7 linked regions of the Macaca fascicularis genome follow. The protein of the gene in region 1 interacts with the protein of each later gene in a pairwise test. Links are inferred from orthologs where the notes say so. Each region holds a gene or a part of one and is shown in the gene's direction. Other genes may lie near its edges. The genes, in order: KASH5, BET1, UPK1B, GPR25, GOSR2, TRAF3IP3 and SENP2.

Evidence for each region.
Region 2: the proteins of KASH5 (region 1) and BET1 interact in binary tests that used the Homo sapiens proteins (3 or more experiments, as listed by UniProt). The two-hybrid records come from large-scale screens. The link is inferred for Macaca fascicularis from reciprocal best matches to the Homo sapiens genes KASH5 and BET1.
Region 3: the proteins of KASH5 (region 1) and UPK1B interact in binary tests that used the Homo sapiens proteins (3 or more experiments, as listed by UniProt). The two-hybrid records come from large-scale screens. The link is inferred for Macaca fascicularis from reciprocal best matches to the Homo sapiens genes KASH5 and UPK1B.
Region 4: the proteins of KASH5 (region 1) and GPR25 interact in binary tests that used the Homo sapiens proteins (3 or more experiments, as listed by UniProt). The two-hybrid records come from large-scale screens. The link is inferred for Macaca fascicularis from reciprocal best matches to the Homo sapiens genes KASH5 and GPR25.
Region 5: the proteins of KASH5 (region 1) and GOSR2 interact in binary tests that used the Homo sapiens proteins (3 or more experiments, as listed by UniProt). The two-hybrid records come from large-scale screens. The link is inferred for Macaca fascicularis from reciprocal best matches to the Homo sapiens genes KASH5 and GOSR2.
Region 6: the proteins of KASH5 (region 1) and TRAF3IP3 interact in binary tests that used the Homo sapiens proteins (3 or more experiments, as listed by UniProt). The two-hybrid records come from large-scale screens. The link is inferred for Macaca fascicularis from reciprocal best matches to the Homo sapiens genes KASH5 and TRAF3IP3.
Region 7: the proteins of KASH5 (region 1) and SENP2 interact in binary tests that used the Homo sapiens proteins (3 or more experiments, as listed by UniProt). The two-hybrid records come from large-scale screens. The link is inferred for Macaca fascicularis from reciprocal best matches to the Homo sapiens genes KASH5 and SENP2.

Annotation. Positions count from the first base shown.
Region 1 is NC_088393.1:57,356,569-57,360,068, forward strand, and holds part of KASH5 (protein KASH5), read left to right. Parts: coding exon 1-45; intron 46-57; exon of another isoform or gene 58-128; coding exon of another isoform or gene 129-320; coding exon 321-377; intron 378-693; coding exon 694-753; intron 754-2,044; coding exon 2,045-2,109; intron 2,110-2,273; coding exon 2,274-2,361; intron 2,362-2,825; coding exon 2,826-2,948; intron 2,949-3,500. UniProt on the Homo sapiens protein: As a component of the LINC (LInker of Nucleoskeleton and Cytoskeleton) complex, involved in the connection between the nuclear lamina and the cytoskeleton.
Region 2 is NC_088377.1:127,321,590-127,325,591, forward strand, and holds the start of BET1 (BET1 homolog), read left to right. Parts: upstream 1-1,202; 5' UTR 1,203-1,344; coding exon 1,345-1,363; intron 1,364-4,002. UniProt on the Homo sapiens protein: Required for vesicular transport from the ER to the Golgi complex. Functions as a SNARE involved in the docking process of ER-derived vesicles with the cis-Golgi membrane.
Region 3 is NC_088376.1:164,009,100-164,013,165, reverse strand, and holds the start of UPK1B (uroplakin-1b), read left to right. Parts: upstream 1-1,266; 5' UTR 1,267-1,305; intron 1,306-4,066. UniProt on the Homo sapiens protein: Component of the asymmetric unit membrane (AUM); a highly specialized biomembrane elaborated by terminally differentiated urothelial cells.
Region 4 is NC_088375.1:58,609,711-58,613,768, forward strand, and holds the start of GPR25 (probable G-protein coupled receptor 25), read left to right. Parts: upstream 1-1,258; 5' UTR 1,259-1,315; coding exon 1,316-2,401; 3' UTR 2,402-4,058. UniProt on the Homo sapiens protein: Orphan receptor.
Region 5 is NC_088390.1:66,846,360-66,849,859, reverse strand, and holds part of GOSR2 (Golgi SNAP receptor complex member 2), read left to right. Parts: intron 1-1,400; coding exon 1,401-1,537; intron 1,538-2,395; coding exon 2,396-2,528; intron 2,529-3,500. UniProt on the Homo sapiens protein: Involved in transport of proteins from the cis/medial-Golgi to the trans-Golgi network.
Region 6 is NC_088375.1:67,597,420-67,600,919, forward strand, and holds part of TRAF3IP3 (TRAF3-interacting JNK-activating modulator), read left to right. Parts: intron 1-361; coding exon 362-433; intron 434-557; exon of another isoform or gene 558-721; intron 722-2,755; coding exon 2,756-2,896; intron 2,897-3,004; coding exon 3,005-3,142; intron 3,143-3,500. UniProt on the Homo sapiens protein: Adapter protein that plays essential roles in both innate and adaptive immunity. Plays a crucial role in the regulation of thymocyte development.
Region 7 is NC_088376.1:97,550,366-97,553,865, forward strand, and holds part of SENP2 (sentrin-specific protease 2), read left to right. Parts: intron 1-2,063; coding exon 2,064-2,195; intron 2,196-3,500. UniProt on the Homo sapiens protein: Protease that catalyzes two essential functions in the SUMO pathway.

The DNA of each region.
Region 1 (3,500 bases):
AAGAAGAGAAGTCAGGAACTGGCCATGGAGAAGGACACTTTGAAGGTGCCACTCCTTCCTAGTGCCTGACAACTTTCCACCACCCTGGGGCCATTTTTCCCATTTCCGGTTTTAGTGACTGCAGCCTGATGAGAGCAGGGTCTTCCATCAAACTGTCAGACTCCCAGGACCACCCAGGCATCCCTAAAATCCCTGAAGTCCCGGAACATCTCAGGAGGTTGAATCGGCGGGGTGCGGGAGAGCAGGGCAGGCCAGACGGAGGGCAGGACCGAGGGGAGTCCTGGGAGGTTGGATGGATGGACCGGCTCCTTTCTTGGCAGCGGCAGCTCTTTGAGTGTGAACACCTCATTTGCCAACGAGACACCATCCTCTCTGAGGTGAGGAGCCCGGGGAGGGAAAGAGATTTGCCTTCCGTGTGCGCCAGCCACTTCCTGCCCCTGGTCTAGAAAGGGAAGTCCTACTTGGGTCTGGTCCTTGGATGTGCAGGCGGAGAGATTGGAGGGATTCCCCAGGTCCCAATGTGACCCCTCAGGGATCTAGAAGCCCTTCTGCCCGGTGCTCTCCCTTGGGCCCCAGCTCTTCTCTCAAGCTCACCCTTGTCCCTTAACCCCCCCAGCCAGTCCCCCCACCACCACCCCCCACTATGTCTTTGGGGAACTGGTCCCAGTCTCATTTGGCTTTCGGCTTTCCCAGCGCACTCGCCATGTGGAGAGCCTGGCCCAGACCTTGCAAGAATACAGAGTGACGACGCAGGTAACTCAGCGGCCCTGGCCACTTCTCTTTTGCCATCTCTGGGACTTGCTGCCTCTCCTCCTCATCGCTCTTTCTCTGTCGGTGGCCACATCTTGCTTCTTCTATCCATAATGTATGACTGTATGACTTACTGTGTGTCTCACCCTCTGTTTCTCTATCTGCCTTTTCACTTTTTTTCTGTTCCTTCCATTCACTTTCATTCTCTGTGGGTGTCTTCTCACATACCCCTCCTTATCTTTTTTTTTTTTTTTTTTTTTTGAGACAGAGTCTCGCTCTGTCACCAGGCTGGAGTGCAGTGACGCAATCTCGGCTCACTGCAACCTCTGCCTCCCAGGTTCAAGCGATTCTCCTGTCTCAGCCTCCCAGATAGCTGGGACTACAGGCGCACGCCATCATGCCCAGCTGATTTTTGTATTTTTAGTAGAGACGGGGTTTCACCATGTTGGCCAGGATGGTCTCGATCTCTTGGCCTCATGATCCGCCCACCTCGGCCTCCCAAAGTGCTGGGATTACAGGCGTGAGCCACCGCGCCCAGCCTCCCCTCCTCATCTTTATGTGTCTCTGCCAGGCTCGTGTGGGTTCCTGTCTCTGCCTCTAGGTCTAGGCTGTCTGTCTCCCTAGGCAAGTCTTCTCTGTTTGGCTCTGGTCTTTACCAGTCTCTTAGCCCTGGTGTTTCCCTTGCCTGTCTGTGAGTCTGTTTCCATTTATGTCTTTCATTTTTTCATGCATCACTGCCTCTGCCTTCCTTCTCTTAATTTTCTTGGCTGTGCTTTTTGTTTTGTTTTGTTTTGTTTTGTTTTTCTTTTTTGAGACGGAGTCTGGTTGTGTCGCCCAGGCTGGAGTGCAGTGGCACAATCTTGGCTCACTGCAAGCTCCTCCTCCTGGGTTCAAGCGATTCTTCTGCCTCAGCCTCCCAAGTAGCTGGAACTACAAGTGCGTGCCACCATGCCTGGCTAATTTTTTGTATTTTTAGTAGAGACGGGGTTTCACCCTGTCAGCCAGGATGGTCTCGATCTCCTGACCTCGTGATCTGCCCTCCTGAAGTGCTGGGATTACCGGCATGAGCCACAGCTCCCGGCCTCTTGGCCTGTGCTTTAGCTTCTGGATTCCTGTTGCTCTCTGTCTCTCTTTGGCTTCCTAACATTCTGTCATGGCTTTCTGCCCTTTGTCCCCAGGCAGTGTGTGTCTGGGGAGGCCAAAGTAGTCAGGAAAGTGGAAAGAACCCTGGAAGAGGAGCCCAGGGATGGGAAAAATGGAGAGCCAGATGTGCCCCCCACTTCCTCCTTTGCAGGAACTGAGGCTGGAGATTTCACGCCTGGAGGAGCAGCTGAGTCAGACCTATGAGGGGCCCGATGAGTGAGTGGAACTTCATAGGGTAGGAGGAGGCAGGAGGGGAGCCTAAGAGCAGAGACACCCTGGTCTCCAGCCCCAAGGTGGGCAGGGAAGGGAGGCCAGCATGAGCCGACTGAGTGGCCCCCAGGCACAAAGGCCGCCTTCCTCCCTCCTCCCTGTGTGGCCAGGCTACCTGAAGGGGCCCAGCTGAGAAGAGTGGGCTGGACCCGGCTGCTGCCCCCATCGCTGGGCTTGGAGATCGAGGCCATTCGACAGGTGGGCCTAACACCCCTGGAATAAGCTGCAGGCCACCAAGGCAGGATCTCCAAACATCTCCCCACTCTGATCCTCACACCAGCCTAGCCCTAACCCACATTGCTGCCAGAGGCTCCCATCACAACCTTAGCTTTTCTCTAACTCTATCTCGGATCCTAACCCCAAACCCACTGCCAGCCCCAGGCCTATGCCAGACCCCAGTCCGATCCAGCTGTGACTCACCCCTATCTCGTCTCCCTCCATGACCATCTCACTCCTTAACTTCATCTCGAACCCAGACCTCGGTCCTGGCAGCAAACCCTCCCCTGTTCCTGCTTCTGCCCACTCCCCACACCAGCCCCACACCAGCTCTTTTCTACCTCTCATCCTATTTTCAGCCACACACCTAAACCCGTTTCTGTCTCTGACCTTGTCTTCTACCTTAACATGGCTCTCCCTGACCTCGGAAACACCTTCTGTCCCAGAAACAGGAAGTGGCAATTGCTGGTCTCTCCAACCCTCTGTGTGGGGTGTGGCAGTGGGAGGAAGTCATCCATGATACCAGTGAGGATGCTGAGTTTCCGTCTGAAGCCCCAGCTGGGGGACAGGTGAGCACAGGAAAAGCTCTGAAGTCCAGGAGCTGGAAAGGGGCCCGGAGCGCCAGGTGCCGCCCTGGCCAGCCATTCACTCACACCTTTGCTTGTTCCCCATTTGATGAGAAAATGTTAATTGAGAGCACACTGTGTGCTGGACACCCAGCCACAAGCCAGACCAGACACCACCCCTGCCCCAGGGACTGACCTGCCAGCGTTGGAGACAAAGGTGAACAAAGCAAACACACAAATTGCACTGTGGCTTTTCGTGTCGTTTTGTTGTTTTAGAAAACACGCTCAGGAATTGCGTGATTTAAAATTGTACTACCGTAGGAAGGGAATAAGCAAGTTGTTTATGCTAACATTTTAAGGATATATTAAGCATTTATGTTTCAAATATAAGTACCTTTAAGAAAAACCAGCAAGCTCACTATGACATCTTTTTTTTTTTTTTCTTTTTCTTTTTTTTGAGGCGGAGTCTCGCTCTGTCGCCCAGGCTGGAGTGCAGTGGCCGGATCTCAGCTCACTGCAAGCTCCGCCTCCCGGGTTCCGGCCATTCTCCTGCCT
Region 2 (4,002 bases), on another chromosome or scaffold:
ATAAAGGGATACCTAGCTATCATTTCTTTTATTGAATCTTCATCTTTTATTTGTAATAATTGTCCCTGATATTATGCTCAGTTAATTCCATTGCTTTTAGAAAATGGCGATTTTTTTCTATCAAAACACTATTGGATAAAGCTTCCTTCCCAGGTTAATAACTCTTATCAAAAATTGTTTTCGTGTGTTTTTTACCAGAGCAACTTAACGCAGAGACTTATGCCACTGTTATAGTCAATGTTAATAATGTCCTGGGAAACTATGAGGAAACGCTAAGTGATCAGAGATCACATATTCGGAAACTCTAGTGTGGAGACGATTCCACTGCCATATATACAGCAGCAACAACAAAACCGCAGACACCCAGTGGATTTTGATGGCCTCCTGTGTATCAGGTTTTTTTTTTTCCTTCAAAAACCATGATTTCATCGTATTCTCACGATAAATAATCCTGTGAGATAAAATGAAATTCTAGGATTAACCCCGATACCAGTAACACCTCCAACTCGCCAGCAAGCTTTTAAACCCCTAAACTGGCACACTGCTTTGTGTAAAAAGTTAAGTGGGAGGGAGTTTAGGGGTCCTTTGGTCCCTATAACAACTAAAAGTCTTGGTTCCTTCTAGAAGTACAACAGATGCAGTAACAGGGAACTAACTATTCACAAATTATTCAGTGCCTCCGACGAGACCCCGCGCCTTTCCTAGTTGGCTCTTATCCGAGCAGGAGTCCTACTCAAAGGCACCTGGTTTTCTCTCCTTTACCGGATACTACGAGGCACACATCGGTTACTTCTGTGGGTGTCGGATTACTTGTTTGTAAACTGAGAAACCTGAACAAAGTTTTGTCTAACTTTCCCTCAACTGCCTCTGGAGGTGAGAGGGAGTACGAGGCTGAATCAGGAAAGATACCCCAACCACCCTCTTGTGGGTCGGGAGGAGCAGATCTGCTGGGTTAATCTTGGTGGTTAACAAACTGAAAGCAGCTACCTGAAGCTGCGAGCGGAGCAGCTGGAACGTTGTCGGAGCAGCAGTAGAAGCCGGCCCCTTTACCGGAAGCCCCGGCCGCCCCTGGAACCTGGCTCACACCACGCCCTCAACAACACTTTATGCGTCGGTGAACTACATTTCCCAGAATGCCATTCAACCTTCTTCCCAGGGCTCCAATGAGCGCCCTGGTGACGCCATCAGCAGGCGCGGTGTTTAGACTACACTGATGTCGTGGCGCTTTAGGGGAAGAAGTTGGTGTTTCGCCCGGCCCTGGTACTGAAGACGCGGTCGGGGTCACAGCTCTTTCCTACTCACCCAACCCCCCGCGCCCGCCTTTTCTCTCTCTCCTCTGGCAGGATGAGGCGTGCAGGCCTGGGTAAGAAGAGGGCTGAGGTTCGAAGTTCGGGGCCCTAGAACCGGCCATGCTGGGCGCGGAAAGAAATCGAACCTGTCTTCTGTTCCTGGCATTTGGTCCAAAAAACAGGCTGTCTAGAGGGGATCTTTGTGGGCCAAGTCGAATGGAAACATACCATTTGTCCCAGTTCCTTGGAGTTTCCTTAAGTCTGAGTCAGATTCAAGTTTGGATGGTAGGCTAGAGAAAGTAGTGGACTGGGGGTGGGTGTGTACAGGTGGCATCTCAGTGGTCGAGTGTCTTAGTGTTATTGCCTGAGCGTGGTTATGGACACTGCTATGTTTTCCAAAGCCCGACTCCGGTTTCTCTTCCTCTACTGGCCCTGGATCTTAGTTTCTTCAGAAGTGGAATTTGAAGAGTGGGTGGTTGCACGCAAAACACACTAGTAGTAGTGGTCGTTAGTCTGGTAACAGTGAGTTACAAAGGTAAATAAATGTACGTGTCATTATTGTTAAAGGTCCTGGAACTGTAACTTCTGGGTCAAAGGCGATTTCTTAATCTGAACCTTGTGCCACGGTTAAGGCAGTAGAACGTGATAAGGTTTGGCGACTTAACATTTGATCTTTACCTTTGGGGTTAGTAAAGTGGCTCATCAGCAAGAATAAGTTAGACCCAAGGAATTTTAATGGGCCCTTATAGTAACGCACAGCTACTAGAACAGCATTTTCTGATTCTGAAGCTTTCTCTTAGGACACGATTTATTTTTTATTTTTTTTTTTTTTAAAGAAGACCCTGCTAAATTAAGAGTGCAGTATACTTCAGAAAATAAATGAAACTTTTGAAAAAAGATAGTGTTACCTTTCTCAGTCATTATAAGATTGAAGAAAGAAAAACAAATTCCCCAATGTGTCAGATATAATGAAAGTTGCCAATAACCATAGACTTGTTTATTTATTAATAAATTGTAGTATGAAAAAGTTTTTTGTTTTTTTTAATGAAGTTTTTATGAATACTTGGATCATAGAAAGTGGGGCCAGGTAAATTGATGAGAAAAAAAAAAGAAAGAATTTTGAGTAAGTTTGGTTTTATATGTGTAAATGTTTTTCTTGTTCATCATCATTAATGACAAAAAAAGATTTATTGTGTGCTTGAGTAAGCTCTAGGTATACAGTTGTTTGTTGCCCGGTTTGCGATCCCCAAAGCTTCCAGTCTAGTTGGAGAGTAGAAATATGTGCAAAGATAAGTTATAGTACAAAGTAGTCGCTATACATCCAAATACCAGATAGGTTCTACATACAAGGGATGGTCTCAGAGATTTCAGAGACAGATTACTGTGTACTTTGTGGAGAAGATCCTTGTGTATTTTGTGGAGACATAGGAATTTGAAGTAGACCTTGAATAATTGAGAGTAGGGGAAGTGGGTTCCAGATAGGAGGAACTAAAAAGAAATAAGGGATTATGATTAAACCAGTTTGGGTGAAGTAAGTGATGCGGGATCACACTGTGGAGATCTTCGCATGCGAGGCCAAAGAGTTTGGATTTCATCAGTAGGCCCCTAGGCCCTTTTGAGCATTTTTCTGCTGCAGTGTGCCATGTTAAATTACAGGAAAGTGACTTGAGTAATGATTCTCAGCCCTGACTGTACATTAGAATCCCCTGGGAAATTTTTAAAGTATTGTTTCCTGGACCTCAGCTCAGCCAGTTAAATTAGAATTTCACTAATTTAGAACCCACTACCTACTCTTTAAAAAAAAAAAAAAAACAAAACATTTTTTCTTTTCTTATTTTTAAAGTATGAATGTATATTGACCTGAAATTTTAAATTTGGGATCATAGTGAATCTGATAGATATCTGTAGGCAGAAGTTGCCACACTTCACATGATAACTGGTTTTGTTAGCTTACTGATAGAACCCATCCAAAAGAAGTAGCGTTTATCTAAATAAACAAAGGCTGAGGATGATCTTCAGTAATCACTAGCTTTTTTACAACTTTTCATAGCAGTACACCACCAGAAGGGAAGTGGCTCTGTTTGGAATAGCAATTCTAGCATTTTATTTGTTTTTTACTTTTTTCATTGTATTTGGGATGGGTCATAGTTTGAGGGAAGATCAACTCTTCAATAGAAATGTGCATTGATATATTTTTGGCAATAAATACAACAAGAATATCACTTTGAATAAATGGAACAGCATGGAAGAACTCTAAAATTAAAATTAAGATAGGCAAAAGCAACTAAACAAAGGAAAGAAAATAGGAAAGAAAAAATTTAGAATGAATTCCTTGGTGAAGTTGTCAAATGTTTCCATTCAACCAGTCAGTAATTACTTACTGGGTAAATGTTGTATACTCAGAACCTCAGCCACACAAAATAAGAAGACATTATTCTTTTCTTTAAGTATCTTGGCCCTTATTAAACTACAGTTTGCACAGAGTATCATTGATTAATAGAGTAGGAATGCGTTTTTAAATGGTAACTTTAATTGTTGACTGGGGGAAAAAATATGCCCACTCCTTGAGTTCTTTTATAATAACACATGTGGAGAGCTTTATGGATAGTGTGTCAGCAGGAAAATTCAGATAGTACAACTCTCTTCTGTTTGGAAAATACTTCTCCAATATTTTGTTGTGGTTTTTGTGGTGGTGGAGATTGCATAGGTATCT
Region 3 (4,066 bases), on another chromosome or scaffold:
GCTGCAGAGGAATAAGGCATTGTGATGGACACAGAGGTGCTCCATGCAGTCCCCTTCAAGGGGGAGCTTGCCCTGCTGCTGGGAGTACTTGCAACCTCCCAGCCTCCAGTTATCAGCCCCTTTCAGGACTTGCCTCAGCTACAGAAAGCTGCCTTCCCAGGGCAACCCACATTGAAGGGCAGATGATAGAGGAGCCCAGTGGCAGAGCTACATTGACAGGCCATCTTCCTCCAGAGTTTCCCAAGGGGGACTGCTTCAGACTGTCCCACCTATATTGCAGCTCAACTTCTTTCTCTGCCCAGTCCTGTTTCTTCCCTGTCCCTGCCATGGGTGTTCCTCTCAGGGCACTCCCTAATAAATATATTGAACACTAAATTTTGTCTCAAAGTCTGCTCCTGAACAATCTAACCTGAGACAGAGATGATGCTGACCCTTGAGGAACTCCCAAGTCTATTGATTAAAGCACTCAGTAAATTCTAACATTACTGCTGTTACCAACTCCTAACTCAGGTTAAACAAGCTATGGTGCACGTATACTACGATAGGTTATGCAGCCATTAAAATGATGCTCTGGGTGCCATGTATAACACATGATGGCTCCGGAAGTCAGGAAAGAAGGAAAAAAGAAAGGAAGGGAAGAGAAGAGAAAGGAAAGGGAGGAAGGAAGAGGGAAGAGAAGAATTGGACATCAGATAATCACTTGAGCCCTCTCTCTTTGCCTGAATTTTTCTCAATCTGTTTCTTTCCACATCTCTTGCTCCTTATTGGTCTTTGGGCTACCTACAGTATGAGCATTACTTGGGCAATGACTATTGCTATGAATTTGGCATATGCAAGGGTTATAGAAACTAAAGCTGGACATGGCCCTGCACAGGTAAGCACATATCATTATCTCTGTGAGCAGTCAGGACTAACAAGCCTTCAACACACAAAAGCAGGAGTAAGGATCAAATTACACTAATCAAATCAAATCAAAATAAAAGCCCTGAATTTGTATTCCAGTAAAGTCCAGACCTAGGAGGGATCTAGGAAAGCAATGAGTGTGGCTGTCAAGGTGCTTCCAGATGTCAGAGTCACACATTCCAAAGCAGCAGAAATCTACTGACAGTCTCCGGTTACTCCCCCGTCTCAGCGAGGCAGGGCAGGCAGCGGCAAGCTCAGCCCATGTGAGGTGCCTCCTGCCAATCACAGACCACCCTTCCCTGGTCCTGGAGGTTCAAAGGATTGCAGGAGGGTAGAAAAGCACCTGGGGCTGGTGCAGACTGCGGAGCGGGCCGCACCCTGTGTGCAGAAAGAGGAGGCGCTGTGAGTAGACTGCTTTCCCTCTACAGGGAATCCCGCGGGCTCAAGGGTTGGGTTGCTCTCCCGGGAGGGAAGCTAGTGGTCTGGGAGCGAAAGGGGAAGAAGTTAGATTCCTGATTCATAAAGTCTGTCATTTTTTTTCTTTGTAATTTAGGGTATTGTGACTGTCCTGTTCTCTTTTACTTTGAACCGTTCAAATTGCTTTCTTAAAACCTTTGATATAAGTCTTGTTCTGTTCTGGAGATATTACGCAGCCATCCTGCTTTCAACCTGAAATATCCCCAAAGAAAGAACAAGAAAATCCAAGCACCTGAGAAACCCCGTATCTCCTGATTAAATCGCACATAGACAGACACCTTTGTAGACCCCCAATTTCCTTGTGGAGTCAGAAAAGCAATAGAAAATTTAACGAAATAGCTCGTGTCATTTCTGAATAATCCGTTCAGGCTAGCAGAGAGAAAGTTTCTTGGTCTTCTTGTCAGAAATCATTTGGTCCTGCCAACTTGTAATGAAATGTGTGAGGCAATTTACTCCCAGTTATTCTCTGCAAACACTTCTGCTTAATAAATGTGTCAGTTGAAGTAAGTCAACAAAGTAGCTTTATCTATGCAATGTTATTTTTACATAATTTGTTTTTACTCCTTACCAATTCTTTGTTCCACAAGGATGTGCAGGACATAAAGATATTTTTCGTTCTAATGACATTTTCATACAAAATACAAATTTAAGTTTCAAATAATGCTAGTATTATTTTATGTTTGCATTTGTTTATAAACCTAAAACTCTATTTCTAACTAGTTTTAAAGATTTTTAAGCCATTTAAGAATTTATAGCCAGTTGCAGTGGCACATGCCTCCAGTTCCAGCTATTCAAGAAGCTGAGGCCATGGGATGAGGAGTTCTAGTCCAGGCTGGGCAACATAGTGAGATCCTGTCTCTAAAAATATATAAATAAATTTTTAAAGAAGTTTTGTTAACTCGAATGTCTTCTTTTAATGAAAGACAATGTTTCTTGACCATTTCTTGCCTGAGTTGCTAAGCACAACAGGAAATAACTCGCTAGGTTTTATAGATATATATATATACTTTCAGTATAAATAAAATTTAGGTTACATAGTTTTCAGACCCTGTGAAGAAGTGGATTTTCTTTTTATTAACCTTTTCAGTGAGGAGAAAAATTTCTTACTTTACTTTCGCTCCAACAGATTGTTTTGCTTTCTGCTATAAAATAGTCTTTAAAATCAACTCACCTATATATTTTTTTTTAACTGCTGGGAAGAATCATAGACTTTTACATTCAAAGGGGACCTTAGACATCCTTTAATCAAGGAGAAAAAAAAAACTCAGAACTGTTTTTGTTTTTTGTTTTTTGTTTTTTTGAGACGGAGTCTCTCTGACTCCCAGGCTGGAGAGCAGTGGTGCGATCTCAGCTCACTGCAAGCTCTGCCTCACGGGCTCACACCATTCTCCTGCCTCAGTCTCCCAAGTAGCTGGGACTACAGGTGCCCACCACCACGACCGGCTAATTTTTTGCATTTTTTAGTAGAGACAGGGTTTCACTGTGTTAGCCAGGATGGTCTGGATCTCCTGACCTTGTGATCCACCTGCCTCAGCCTCCCAAAGTGCTGGGATTATAGGCGTGAGCCACAGCACCCGGCCAAAACTCAGAACTTCTTTTTGACTTCTCCTGCTTACGTTCTTAACCAGAGTAAACACCAGTCAGCCTTTAAATATGCTCTGGAATTTGGGCCTGATAGCCATTCAGGCCGCCCACAAACTTGATGGGCCACCATTCGCCAACTGGGACAGAGACCACATTGGTGAGGGGCACCGTCATCACACACCACGCTCCCCGCCTCGTCCCCCTGCCCCAAGGATTCTCCACAGTACTCCTTTCCTGGAGCTGGGCATCCCTCTGGCAATGCCCACACCTGAGGCCTTCATGCAACTGAGTGCTCCTGAGCCATTGCTTACAGCTAGTCCCTGATTTCCAATAGATGGATGACTCCCATCATACTGGGAGCACCAGGAATCAAGAGTAGTGCTGTCCAGTAAAACTTTCTGTGATAAGGGAAATGTTCTAGACAATAGACACTAACCACATGTATCTGGGGAGTGCTTGAGATGTGGTTGGAGCAACTGAGGAACTGGTTTTTACTTTTATTTGAATTCATTTGACTTTGAATAACTGCACGCAACTACTAACTACTGTATTAGTGAACACAGGTTTTGAGCTTTAAAGCAAGAAAAACTTATGGGCACTGTGAGCCATGGGTGATGGCCCTAGGAGAAAGCTCCTCTTTTTGTTATTTCCAGGGACTTATCCTACCTTAAGTTGAAGCAGACCAGCAATTGTTGTGACCTACAGTCTCCACACCCATCTTTACTCTGAGCCACGCAAGTGTCTGTTCTTGTTCTGAGTTTCAGGGTCAGGGCTAAGGCAATAGCATATTGTGTTTCTTCGTTTCTTCCTCTCCTATTTTTCCTTTTCTTTTTTTTCTCCTTTGTTAATTCAAATTTCTCTAGCATGAACTAGAGTTTGAGGTGTGGTTTGTGTGTTCTCTGGTGCAACAAACTTGGGTGAGGAAAAGAGGTAATGAACTTGAAAAAATGATCTCATGCTTACTGGGCGAGTCACACTTCTTTTTCTTCTGCTTTGCAAATTGGTTTGTTTAGTGACCAATTGTTTTTAGAACTTTTCAATGTGTCTGGAAACATCAACACTATGGGTATGATTAATTTTTATAAGAAAACAAACTGAATGA
Region 4 (4,058 bases), on another chromosome or scaffold:
CTCGCAGTGCCTGAAACAGTGCCTGCTTCATGGAGGAGTTCATTGTTAACAAGTCTGAATCGAACAAAATTGATAATCCACCTCAAATTTTCCACACCAGGTTGCCCGGCACATCAGCCACTCATTCCTGGGGACACTGGGGACAGACTCAGAGGGCACTGTGACATCAGTTCCACCACAATATCTTGTGGAAGGGATATCTGCTAAGAAGAATTCAGATGTAATTGGCTGCATGCCTCCTTCAGGAGGAAGAGCAAGCATTCCCTCCCCCATCCTCTCCTCCTAAGGGCCCACCGCCCACTCAGGGTCAGACTTCATTCCCCCTCTTCTTTAGGTATCCTCCCCTTACTCTCAGTTTCTCATTTCACAAAGGATCTTGCTGCCTCCAAGCTCCTGACTCATAATTTAGGACAACTAATCTGGTGTTTCATTAGGTGTCATCTTTTGAACTGAGCTTACATCTGCGTCTGGCTTAATAGATAGCTTTTTTAGGCTGGGAGAAGACAGGGAAGAGGCAGATGTGAATCCCAGGCTTGGCCCCTGTCCAGCAGGATGATCTGACTACACCCCTTCCTAGATGCCTTAAAACCCTTCCACTCCGCTTCATGAGGACCTGTTTGGGTCAGAGAAGCCACTCACAGGGTGAAGACACAAACCCCACATTTCAGGATGCTAACAACGGTTTGAGTGCCCAGGGCGGGCTCCCCGACCCACCCAGATCTGCTGTGTCCCGGCAGTGGACTCTTTCCTAGGGAACAGGTGGATTTGGGGGGGGGGGGGCGTGCCTTAGGCCCCATACTCATAAAATCCCCTGTCTTCTCCCCTCTAAAACAGAGAAAACAGCAGCCGGTGGGTGCAGGTGGGAAGGGGTGAGGTGGAGGCTGAGAAGAGATTAGGGCTCTCTGGCACCCACCACCTCTTGCAACACGACCCTGAGGCAGTGGGGCAAGTATCCCGATTTCACGAACAAAGAAACTGAGCAACTAATAGAGGAATGGGCCACGCTCCTACTGGGAGGCGGGGCAGGTCTCCCAGCCCTGAGGACTTTTCCTCCCAAGACTTAGTTGTGAAGCCCCTTTTGCCTATTACCCCTCGGGTCAGCCCCAAATCGGAGGCCACCATCTCTCCCACAGGAGCCTGCCCCTCCCACCCCATCCCCTCCTCCCTCCTGTCTTTCCTGCCCACCCATTTGCTCGAGCTGGGGTGGCAGGAAGGGAGGTGCACGACACGGGCATGAAGAGCAAACCCCCTCCTGCTCAGAGCTGCTGCCGCCTGAGCCCAGGGCTGCACCCAGCGCAGGCCTCGTGGCCAGGCCATGGACCCCACAGAGCCCTGGAGTCCCAGCCCGGGGTCAGGGGCCTGGGACTACTCGGGATTGGACGACCTGGAGGAGCTGGAGCTGTGTCCGGCCGGGGACCTGCCCTACGGCTATGTCTACATACCTGCACTCTACCTGGCGGCCTTCGCCATGGGCCTGCTGGGCAACGCCTTCGTGGTGTGGCTGCTGGCCAGGCGGCGCGGCCCACGGCGGCTAGTGGACACCTTCGTGCTGCACTTGGCGGCCGCTGACCTGGGCTTAGTGCTCACACTGCCGCTGTGGGCCGCGGCGGCGGCGCTAGACGGCCGCTGGCCGTTCGGCGAGGGCCTCTGCAAGCTCAGCAGCTTCGCGCTGGCGGGCACGCGCTGCGCGGGCGCACTGCTGCTGGCTGGCATGAGCATGGACCGCTACCTGGCCGTGGTGAAGCTGCTCGAGGCGCGGCCCTTGCGCACCCCGCGCTGCGCGCTGGCCTCGTGCTGCGGCGTCTGGGCCGTGGCGCTGCTGGCTGGCCTGCCCTCCCTGGTCTACCGGGGGCTGCAACCCCTGCCTGGGGGCCACGGCAGCCAGTGCGGGGAGGAGCCCTCCCACACCTTCCAGGGCCTCAGCTTGCTGCTGCTGCTGCTGACCTTCGTGTTGCCCCTGGTCGTCACCCTCTTCTGCTACTGCCGCATCTCGCGCCGCCTGCGCCGGCCGCCGCACGTGGGTCGGGTCCGGAGGAACTCGCTGCGCATCATCTTCGCCATCGAGAGCACGTTCGTGGGCTCCTGGCTGCCCTTCAGCGCCCTGCGGGCCGTCTTCCACCTGGCGCGTCTGGGGGCCCTGCCACTGCCGTGCCCCCTGCTGCTGGCGCTGCGCTGGGGCCTCACCATCGCCACCTGCCTGGCCTTCGTCAACAGCTGCGCCAACCCGCTCATCTACCTCCTGCTGGACCGCTCATTCCGAGCCCGGGCGCTGGACGCGGCCTGCGGGCGCACCGGCCGCCTGGCGCGAAGGATCAGCTCGGCCTCCTCGCTCTCCAGGGACGACAGTTCCGTGTTCCGTTGCCGGGCCCAGGCCGCGAACACTGCCTCGGCCCCCTGGTAGCTGCCCCGGGCCGCTGGAGGTGGGCGACAGCGGAGCACCGAGAGGAGGGGAGAAGTCCCGGGAGGGGACCCAGATGCGCCTGTTCTGGCGGCAGCAAGCTGCTCCGGCCGGCATCGCATTGCCTCGCGCGCTGCCTGGACTCCCAGGGTCTCCTCCATCAGCTTCCCCGGAACCTCAGAGCAATTGAACTCCCCTAAACCAGGCTCCTGAGACTAGCTGTTCCCTGTCAGCCTGCAGGGTACAAGATAAGTGCTATGAGATGGAGCAGACAGCAACTCGGAGACCCGCAGATTCACCAAGAAGACAGAAGGGAAGGGGATTTCCTTCTCTGCCTCATTGGGAAGAGCACTGACCAGAAATCGAACCCAGACCCCTAAATGCCATTCTGGTTTCTGGCTGTGCTTTCTCCCGTCTCCCACAATAGCTTTTGCTTTCAGAGAAATACCTTCTCCAAGTCAGGCCCTCTGCCCTTCTCACTCACAAAACCCTGGTGTTGAATCTGGTGACACTTCTCCCCCTACGAAGCGGTAGGACTCACCTGGAAGTTGTTCTGGTCTTTCCCTCTCAACAGAAGGTCCTGAAATCGCTCACCAGGCGTTTCTTAAGGTCTCCACCACTCAGCCAGGAACCTCAAAATCTTCTCTGTGAATTCATCTTTCTCAATAAACAGACACTCCTGCTAGCCCTGTCTTCACAGTCGTCTTTGCTTGCGCAGTGGGAGTGAAATGCGTATCAGGAGGCGGGTCGCACACTGGGTGAGACAAAACTCAACACAGTAGTTGAGGTTGATCTCAGGATGATGAGGATTTGGGGTGGTGTCTGGGAGCTGAATGCTGGCTGCACTCTGCAGGTGCAGTAATCCCATAGGAGGAAGCAAATCATTTATTCTTATTATTTTTAAGGACATTTCACATTTTGAAAGCTACAGAAAGAAAATATATTTATATAAGGGCATCTGCCAGCCGGGTGTCACTTCTGAGAGAAGATGTGTCATTTTGGATTTTCAAATATATACCAGGCCTTTTTTTTTTTTTTCTATCTTTTTTCAGACCTTCCATGAACTTTTTTCAGACCAGTATGAACTGTGGGGATTAGCCATTTTCTGACTCTGTCATTTCTCCTTTGAGGTTTCTGTAGGGTTTGGAAATTCACTGTTTATACTTTTGATTTAAGAGGATTTGGCCTAAAGACATTTCAGTCAGTGTACATCCTAGCCAGATCCCCACAGGCCAGTCTGGATGTTGCAAGCTCTGGGGGAAAGGGTGGGTGTGCACGCGGATAAGCACCTCAGTGCTAGGTTGGGTCTGAAGCCTGGCATTCTGTCGCAGGCTATCCATCCCATCCCCCCATCAAATACCCCTGTATTCTCTTCAGCATTTGGAGCTGCTGGATTAGAGCAGATTGAACATCGGGTCTCCTAGATCAGCCTGCCAAAAAGTGCATTTCTGCATGTTCCTCCCATATACTCCAAGAGAGGCAAGCCTTGCAGCCTGTGAGGTCACCTCTGCCAGCAGGACACATTTCAGGCACTTTGGTGTTTGAGAGCTCGGTTAAGTCTTGGCACTTCTTATCCTCACTATTGCTCTCTGAGGCAAGAAATTATTTTTTCATGGGGCTGAGACCCCAGAATTTTCAGGGCAGGGAAGCTGACTCTGAT
Region 5 (3,500 bases), on another chromosome or scaffold:
CTGACTGCACTCTGCCTCGGGGGCTTAATGATTCAGCGTGGAATGAGTTTTGTTGTTAGGGTGGACAGAAAAACCCTATGGCAAAATCACTGATTTCCCTGAGTGTGCCCTTTGGAATCCCACAAGTCTTATCCCCCATTACCCCTCCACTCAACCTGACATGGCCCTATGGGAATGGAAGCGCTTGCCTCCATCTGTCTTAATCTAATTACCTAGTCCTTAGAGGAATGTACTCCATAAAAATTCAGAGATGTTTAACTGGAATTGGCCATTTCTTCTGAGCTGAGAACTGTGGCTTTTAAGGAGGATTATTCAGAAACGAACAGCAATATTAATTAGTTTAGTTCCCACAGCATGGTTTCTTTTGAGAAGCATGCTGGATTTTTGTTTTTTTTGGTTTTTTTTTTTTTTTCTATTCTAAGGAAAGATCTTTTTTCTGAGTCAGTCATATGGACACCACCTGCGGGGACTGCCTACCCACCCCACTGCTGGGCTCCCTCCGGACCCATTCCTCCTGTTCTCTCACGTCTCCTTTCACAGCTTCAAAAGCAGCTCTGTTCTTGGTTCTGTGCCCCACCTTGTTCTAATCTCAACTGTCTTTGTTTACTGTGGGCGCAAAGGCCTAGGAAGGGGCAGTGTCACTGCTGTCACTTCTTTATGGGCAAGAAGCAGTCTGGATGCTTTCTTTTGTGCACAGTTTAGCTTTTTTGTTCATTGGACTTTGTTTGCCTTCTCAGCAATCTCGTTACATGATTAGAAATGGAAAGAGGTCATTTTGACTGTCTTATCGAAAGAGATAAGGAAAATGACCGTATTTATCATATCTCTTTACCTCTGTGGATTCTTTCCTGGGCCTTTCCTATTGATATTTGGTCTATTTTGGGGACGTCAACATTGCTCAGCCCACCCATTCTTACAGAAAGCCTTAAGGGAGCTCTCCTCTGTATGTTTCACATACTAATCTTCCCCTTCCTTTATGCTTTTTTTTTTTTAATTAAAAAAAAAAAAAAAACTCATTACTATAGGGAATTCAACTGGCAGTCTTTTTACTAGGTATTTATAATCCACGTCTGAGAAATCCAAAGGAAAAGAGACCTATATCAGAAAATTTAGCTTAAAGTATTTATTTGTACAACCTTTGCATGTTTATTTTCTAAAGGTAGGAAATTTATTTCTACAGATTTACCTTCAGCTTTTTAAAAAAATTGGCATTGTTGTGTCATTAACAACTATATACATGTACTTTTTTCAAAACAACATTTACGGCATAATTTGAATTTTTTCTGTTATTCATTAGTGTATACATTTTTCTCCTTTTGAAATATGTAGTTCTAGTTTATTGGATATTGAAAAAAAAATCTGTAATTTATTCTAATTTAAGTTCACTATCTCTTTTCCAGCAATTATTCTTTTTTCTTTTTTGTACAGTAGTAGAAAACGAAATCCAAGCAAGCATAGACCAGATATTCAGCCGTCTAGAACGTCTGGAGATTTTGTCCAGCAAGGAGCCCCCTAACAAAAGGCAAAATGCCAAACTGTAAGTGCTGACCTCTGACATGGCACTGCTACTCCAGGCCTGGCAAGATAGGCTTTTCTCCTGGGGGGGGGGAGGCGATAGAATATTCTGAAAACCCACGTACATGTTGAAAAACTACGACTATGTAAAGAAAAAGTCCCCCCAAAGGGCACAGTTGTATCTGAGTAATGCTCCTCAAAATAAATAGCCTGTGAGGTTTGTGACTCAGAAACCTTGTGACCCCTTTGGTGTCATTTTGAAATTCTGCCTCCAGTTCTGTTTTTCTGACTAGACCCATAGCCACCTGAAGCCTAATGTTGCCATGGAGTTTTGTTCTGCTCTTTGGTTCCTGCTGGGTTCTTCTTGGGTTGAAATGAAAAATCACTTGAATCAGTCCACCCATAATGAAATGCTGATCTAATGTTTGATACTCCACCATGAAATTAAAATGAAACCACCTTCGCCACTCCACCCCCAGTGCCTGTTTCCAAAAGTTTTATGATACTTTGTGGATGCTTTACCTCAAAGATGCCCTTGGGCTTCTTCCAGGAGAGCGATATAATCCATAGAAGGTCAAGAAGAGGTCAGCGAGCCTGCTTCCTGTCCCCTGTTCCCTGTCATGCATCCAGAATCAGAGAGCAACAGATTCTGAAGTAAAGCTGCCAGAAGCTTGTGTGCTACCATCTCGCTTTAACCACACGTTACTTCTTTACTTTCAACATCATTGATCAAAATCAGATCTTGTGGTGGTGGGGTATAGCGTGGGGTGGTGTAGGGAGAAGTAAGGAAATGCTGTCTTTCCTGAATACAAAGCCTGGCCCCCTGAGACTCTGCTGCCCTGAGTTCCTGGAATTTAATCTCTCTCTCCATCAATTCCAGTCGGGTCGACCAGTTAAAGTATGATGTCCAGCACCTGCAGACTGCGCTCAGAAACTTCCAGCATCGGCGCCATGCAAGGGAGCAGCAGGAGAGACAGCGAGAAGAGCTTCTGTCTCGAACCTTCACCACTAACGTAAGCCAGGCCTGCGGTGAGGGTCGGCCTGCATTTGGCAGATTGTGGGGGCTGGAGTTCAGATCTCTGAGCGCCATCTGTTTTGGGGGTATCTGAAGAAGACTGGTGATGAGGAAACCAACTGGAAATGACGGGAACTTTGTGCATTGCCACAGAGACTAGACCTCGACAGAGAATCCCTTTTTCTAAGACAAAAACCTGAAGAGGAAGCAGTTAAATTGAAGGGGAATAGGCAGAGGTGAAAATTACCTGGTTGGACTGGTCTGAGACAGAAAGGTGGAAGTTCACATAGTGGAAACGTTTTTCTGATCAGATAGAGACAGATGATTAGAACTTAGGCCATTTGTAGAGAAGGCGGTATTTCAGAGCTGCCTGCGGGCAGTGGCCGTTGTGCCGGGTATGTGTGTGGTTCCAGTGTCAGGTGCATTAAAATGTTTTTGCCCCTAGTCTGAGCAGCAATTTGGAGGAATTTGTTAACGGATGTGTAGGGTTAGACGGACTGCTTGCCTGAGTCTGTCTGAAAATGTGTTGGTGTGCACGTTGGATTTCTCAGAACCCATTGTCCCTGCCCTTTAGTCTTAACCAGATCATTTCCTGCACGTGGCTGTAGAACAGACTGGCCTTTTCTGTGTCCTGCATAATATATTCCACTAAGTGAAGTGTGCTTTGGCTTTTTGTATGTTGTTTTTTACAGAGGATTATTTTCTAAAGAGATGTTAGCTTTCTAAGCCTGTTGTTAAAATTCACATCATTTCCCGCTTTGTAGATGTTTAACCCTCAATGCTGCATCCTTGCTTTGCAGTAAATTTCCCCAAGTGTTTCAGGCTCTGCCAACGTTGTTTTGCTTCCCCAGACTAAGCAGTCAAGTCGCAGTGTTTAACAGTTCAAAAATTTAATGAACTATAAGACACACTAAAAGATGGTTGGATTTTAGATCGTTAATAATGTAGTATTCAGGCCTTTTTTAGACCA
Region 6 (3,500 bases), on another chromosome or scaffold:
CTGAGAAGAGGTGAGGAGTGCAGAAGTGCCTAGAGAGGGGAGAGAGGTAGTGAGCGAAAGGGTAGCTTAGAAGCTTTCCTTCCAGGGCTCCCCTGCTATGCTACCCTGAGCCATTTGATAAAAATGGAGGTAAAAGGAGGACTTGAGGCCAGTCTGATTCTTTCTTGTCCTAGTCTAGAGAAAGAAGAGAAGATCCTCTTCTATTCAGCATCCTTTGTCATATTTGCTCCTGCCTGCCTCCTGAAAGAGTTCACTGTTTGAGCATCAACCATGTGCTGGGCAGTAGGATAGGAATATAGAGTCAAACTCTTTGCAGACTAGATTTTGGCCCACACTCATTAACTCATCCCATTTGCTCCAGGGACAACTTAATGAAGACAAACTGAAGGGGAAACTGAGATCCTTAGAAAACCAGCTGTACACCTGTACCCAGGTAAGCATTCTGAAGGATATTTCCATCTCGGGAATCTAGAATTAAATGTGAAGAATGCTTGAACCTCAATCTTACTTTTGAGAAATGCCACCAGATAGAGAATAACACACCCATTCCTACTTACCCAGTTCTGGCTTGGCCATTTTCACTTTAGTCTCTAATTCACTAGATCACTGTCTCCATCCTTCTTCCTCTCCCTTTCTCCCAGTATCCTTCTCTTTGCACCCTGGAGGAATCCCAGCACTAACCACTTTGTCAGCTCCAGGGGAACCTTGAGAATACCTGAAACTGTAGGGAAAGGCCCTTGGTAAAGATTCACAACACCCAGACAGATCTTTACACATCCTAATCTTTGAACAGATGAGTTAGATGTTATAACGAAGTCTTAGAAAATGATTTTCATTCCATGGGCAACTTTTTTTGTTTTTTCTAGCAACCCCTAGAAGAATGTAAAAGCTCTTTTACTTGGCTCTTCTGTAACACCATTTTCCAGCATTAGTAATCTCCTGATTGGCCTAATCTTGGTTTACAAGAGATAGAAAGAAATCAGCTTTCACATTTGAGAAGTGATGGATACCTGACAGGTGGGAAGATGTCAAATAAGAGAATGGGGCGGAACAGGCAGACTTCTCCCATCTGGAGTTAGAGAGAGAAGACAGTTGGCCACATAGATGGCGTCTCACAGGGGAAGAGAGTTTATGGAGTCTATAAGTTTCTTGGTCCACAACTTTCATTTATTCAGTATGACTTGCTTTGACAGGACTAAATAATGCCAACCAAGTTCACAAGAGACCAATATATAATCCAGAATGCCAATCTATTCATTTTCAATAAGGAATAACACATAACCAGTGCCCAGCATGGATGGTCATTGGATGTCCAATAACTGGGACATCCCCTACATATGACCTCAACCAGGTTAATTCCTGAATCTAGTTTTTAATGAAAGTTCCAAAACTATAAGACCCACTCAAATTTAAATCCAAAATTTCAGACAATTCCAAAGCTAAATGGAAATGATTTCATATTGATCCCTAAATTTTTGTCATCTGGTCTACTGCTTACACAGTGGGTAATCCAGAATTGACAGTAAAATCTGCCTGCCTTCTCCGAAATCACAGGACACAAAGATGAAAGAAAGGGAGAAGGCAAGACCCCCAGTGAATTTGCAAAGCTGCACTTGTGTCTCCTTAATCCTGCAGCCAGGAGGAATTTTATAACGCGAATGTATTAATTTTAAACCATTAAGTTCATTAGGCATTGTAGAGAAGCTACAGTGATTTTTTTTTAAAGCAGCAGCAGTATGCTCCCTCCCTGAAGGAGTTTACAATCCAGTAGGAAAAACAGATGAGTCAACAGAGTAGAATAATAGAGGCATGCAGGGTACACTATGTGAACACTATGAACACTAAGAAAAGCTGCCTAATCTATAAGACATTGTGGGATGGGGGCAGTTGGTCAATTTATCAGAACTGATGATACTGGACTGAATCTTGAGTATGAGTAGAAGTTAACCAGTTCTAGGCAGAAGAAGCTATATGGGTAAAGGCAGAAGCCAAAAAAACAGAGTGCTAGGGGATCTGCAAACATCTCAGCTTAGGTGGAAGTAGCATGGGATGAAAGTCTAGGCATGTAAGTGGAGCCATGACAAGGAGTTTGGATGTGATTCTTAGGATGCTGAGAATCCATGGAGAATTTATGCAGGAAGTGGCAAGATCAGATTTGCATTTTAGAAAGAACCTTCTAAATGCGGGACTGAAAAGGGACTGAAGGGAGGCAAGATTTGAAGAAAGGGAAGCTGTTGCATTAATCCACATAACACTACTACTAGAGCCTGAACTAAGGAAGCAGCAGTAGGGATAGAGAGGAGACAGATATGAACTATGAAGGAAACTGTCAAGGTTCAATGACCAACTGATTACTGGAAGGAAATGAGAGAGAAAATGAAGATTGACTCCCTGGTTTAGGGTTTGGAAAAGACTAGATGGATGATGATTCTGGTCACTGAGATAGGAACCCCAAGAAAAAAGAACATGTTTAGAAACATGAGTCCTGTTTAGACATGTTGGATTTCAAGAGCTTGTGGAAGGCCTCAGATATAATGCCCAGCAAGCCTAGGGCACTGTTTATTATGCCCCCCCACTCATCTCTCATTGCCTGAGGGACTCTCCCTGCTAGCTCTACCCTAAAAGAAAAGGCTCACTAGATTACTGGTATCTCTGCCTGGGGGAAGAACCAACTTCTTTTCATTTCTGTATCCCAGTTCAGGATTTGGCACACAGAAGTTCAATGTGTATTTGTTGAATTGCATCAAATTTACAGAAATACTCCCCTTGGGGAATGAAAAAAGTACTACTGGAGATGGAAGACCAGAAAAACAGCTATGAGCAGAAGGCCAAGGAGTCACTGCAGAAAGTGCTGGAGGAGAAAATGAACGCAGAGCAGCAACTACAGAGCACACAGGTATGGGGATGCCACACAGACCTTGGGGTTGGGGACTCCAGGCAGCTTGGGGAACAAGGGAGCCAGCTGCACAGCTCCCTGGAACCTCTCCTCTCTGACCTCCCTCAGCGATCCCTGGCCCTGGCAGAGCAGAAGTGTGAAGAGTGGAGGAGCCAGTACGAGGCTCTGAAGGAGGACTGGAGGACCCTTGGGTCCCAGCACAGAGAGCTGGAGAGCCAACTCAACGTGCTTCAGTCCAAACTGCAGGTACCAGGCACTGGGGGTGGGGAGGGAAGACAGGGTATGGGGAGGAGGGGTGGTGATGAAGAAGCTGTTCTGGATTAGGGACTCCAAAGGCAGCTGACAGCATCTGGCTTTCAGTTCCTCAGTCACCACCTACTTTGTACCAAATTCACTGTTTTGGCTCTGAAATTTAATTTCGAGTTTAGCAAGGATGTCTGCACTGCTCATGCAAATGAACTAAGCGTTCATTGGAATGACACCATCACCATCCAAATGAAAAGAACTGGCTGGAATATATATCAGCCTACTAATGTCATATCCCAACCCACTCTCCAAACTCCATCCCAAAAAAGCATCCAGTTCAGAATTGCCCATTGTTGGC
Region 7 (3,500 bases), on another chromosome or scaffold:
TTCATTGCATTTTTTAAAAAAGTGGTTACAGTTTACTAAAATGCCCCTTTTGCTGATTATTGCATTTGAAAATAATAAAAACTTACAGAACATGAAGAATGAAGGTAGTTAAAATTCTTAAAGATGTGCCACATCTTGGCTTCCTCTACAATGTTGCCCTAGTAGGCAAATCTCTTGAATACTTACTGTTATATTGGGCATGCAGGTGGAGAGAGAGAGAGATCCATAAAATAGTGAAGCTGTGTGCTGGGGGAGGAAGCATATATTTAGAAGAAAATAATTTCTTCTTTTTTTTTTTTTTTTTTGAGATGGAGTTTCACTCTTGTTGCCCAGGCTGGAGTGCAATGGCGTGATCTTGGCTCACTGCAACCTCTGCCTCCTGGGTTCAGGTGATTCTCCATGCTCAGCCTCCCAAGTGGCTGGGATTACAGGCACCTGCCACAACGCCCAGCTAATTTTTGTATTTTAAGTAGAGACTGGGTTTCACCGTGTTGGCCAGGCAGGTCTCGAACTCCTGACCTTAGGTGATTTACCCACCTCAGCCTGCCAATGTGCTGGGATTATAGGCGCGAGTCCCTGCCCCGGGCCTAGAGGAAAATAATTTCTATTGGGTTAATGGATTTAGTTTTGTATTCTAAATAATGCATTTATCTGCATAATTCTTTAGTATGATGAAGCCATTTATTCCATAAGGAGTCAATTGCTAAATTGCTGCCTGGTTTCCAAGTTTCTGCCTGTTTGCTTATTCTCTTCATGTCAAAAAGGATGGTATAACCCCTTAGATGTCCTAATCTTATTTTGATGTTTTATTTACTTATTTTTAAGATGGAGTCTCGCTCTGTCGCCAGGCTGGAGTGCAGCGGCACGATCTCAGCTTACTGCAACCTCTGCCTCCCAGGTTCAGGTGATTCTTCTGCCTCAACCTCCTGAGTAGCTGGGACTATAGGTGCATGCCACCATGCCCAGCTAATTTCTGTCTTTTTAGTAGAGACGGGGTTTCACCATGCTGGCCAGGCTGACCTCATGATCCACCCGTCTTGGGTTCCCAAAGTGCTGGGATTACAGGCGTGAGCCACCGCACCCAGCCTATTTTGATGTTTTAAAAGTTTAAAGGAGAGAATGGGTGCAGTGGCTCACACCTGTAATCCCAGCACTTTGGGAGGCTGAGGCAGGCAGATCACTTGAGGTCAGGAGTTCAAGACCAGCCTGGCCAACATGGTGAAACCTCGTCTTTACTAAAAATACAAAAAAAAATAGCTGGCATGGTGGTGCGCACCTATAATTCCAGCTAATCAGGAGACAGAGGCACAAATATCGCTTGAACCCGGGAGGCAGAGATTGCAGTGAGGTGAGATCATGCAACTGCGCTCCAGCTTGGGTGACAAAGTGAGACTCTGTCTCAAAAAAAAAATAAAAGTTTAAAGTGGAAATCAGGATTTTAGTATTATGAAGGGAGCAAAGGCCAGGAAATTAGACACACCTGGGTTCAAATATTCTACCTTTTAATAATTATATGACTTTGAATATGTAAAATAAATTCTCAGTTTTCTTCTCTATAAAATGGTAATAATATCTTCCCCACTAATACGGATTAATGATGTGCTTCAAGCATCTAACACCATGTTTGGCTCATAGTGGTTAATACATAGTAGTAGGATAATTGAGACCATACTTTAGATGTAAATATTATTATTATTGTTTCCACAAGCTAATAAGTGAACCAGCATTTGTTGTATTAGTAAGATTGCTTTGTAGTTACAAGTTAAAATATTTTCAGGGTTGGTGTGGTGGCTCATGCCTATAATCTCAGCACTTTGGGAGGCCAAGGCGGGTATTGCTTGAGCCCAGGAGTTTGCAACCAACTTGGGCAATATAATGAGGCCCCATCTCTATTACTAAAAAATAAGAAAAAAATGTTTTCATACTATAGTAAGTCTTTGATAGTATATTTTTCTCAAGAGTCAGGTGTTGCCGAGATGAAAAACTTTTTTCAGTCTCAGAGTTTTCAATAACTGATAATGGGTTCTATATTAAAATAACAACTTCTGGACTTTCTAATTCAGGACATGGAAAAGGAAATCAGTAATGCCCTAGGCCATGGCCCACAGGATGAAATCCTAAGTTGTGCTTTCAAATTGCGAATTACTCGAGGAGATATTCAGACATTAAAGAACTATCACTGGCTCAATGATGAAGTAAGTTGTATTCCCTCCCCCTTTTGGCCATCATTAATTTTAACTATTTATTTATTATCTGTAATCAAAGTGACTTCTACCCAGTTATAAGAGGTTGGTAAAGCAACTCTTAGTTATAATTAAAACAAAAACATCTTAAATCTTAAAAAGATGGTTAGTTCTGATTTTCTGCCTTTAATTAGCAATATTTCCCTTTTCTGCGTCTGTACTTTATTACATCCACCACTCCATTTACTGGTCTTCAGTAAACCCTGGGTACAATTGATGAATGGGAGGAAGCAGCAAGTGATACTGTATTTTAGGTGAATTCTTATAGTAGCTGTTTTTTTGTTTTTGTTTTTTGTTTTTGAGACAGAGTTTCGCTCTTGTTGTCCAGGCTGGAGTGCAATGGTGCAGTCTTGGCTCCATGCAACCTCCACCTTCTGGGTTTAAGCGATTCTCCTACCTCAGCCTCTCAAGTAGCTGGGATTACAGGCATGCACCACCACGCCCAGCTAATTTTGTATTTTTAGGAGAGACAGGGTTTCTCCATGTTGGTCAGGCTGGTCTCAAACTCTGGACCTCAGGTGATCTGCCCACCTTGGCCTCCCAAAGTGCTGGGATCACAGGCGTGAGGCACCACGCCTGGCCTGTTTTATTTTTTGAGTAATAAAAGGATATATTGATTATACTCTATGTATTTTTCTTTATTTGAGTGATAGCTGAAAAATTTTGCCTAACTTGTCATCTTGTATCCTTATTACATTTAGCAGAAGCTAACTCTTAAGTTCTTTGACAATTTTCTGGTGGGTTCTTTCCCGAACTGTTTAGCCCCTGCATCTTCTCTCTTTGAGGGAAATCCCCTATGACTAGTTACTTATAAACACATTCTTTGAAATCAGGAATGTTTTGTTTTACATTATAATCTAATTTGTTTATTGTAGAACATTTGGAAAATACAGGAAAAGTAAAAAATATTACTGTTCAAAAGTACCACCACTTAAAGATAAATAAAATGTTAATATTTTGGTGTATGTCCTTCCAGTTTATATTTTAAAATTGAAGTCTAATTTATATATAGTAAAATTCACTTACTGTTAATATTTCTGCATTTTTTTGCTGTGTTACAGTTATGTAGATCTTTTCATTATTGCACAGACTTTCTTCCTGGATTCCATCTTCTGGCCATTAAGTGTTACTTACATGCCTTAAAAGTAGAGTTTCATTCCATTTTCATGTGTTCCATTTTGCACTGATCACTTTTTTCCCTGTCTTCTACTATAGAGAGTCCTTTTATCCCCTTCTTTAGTACCTTACCTTTGAATT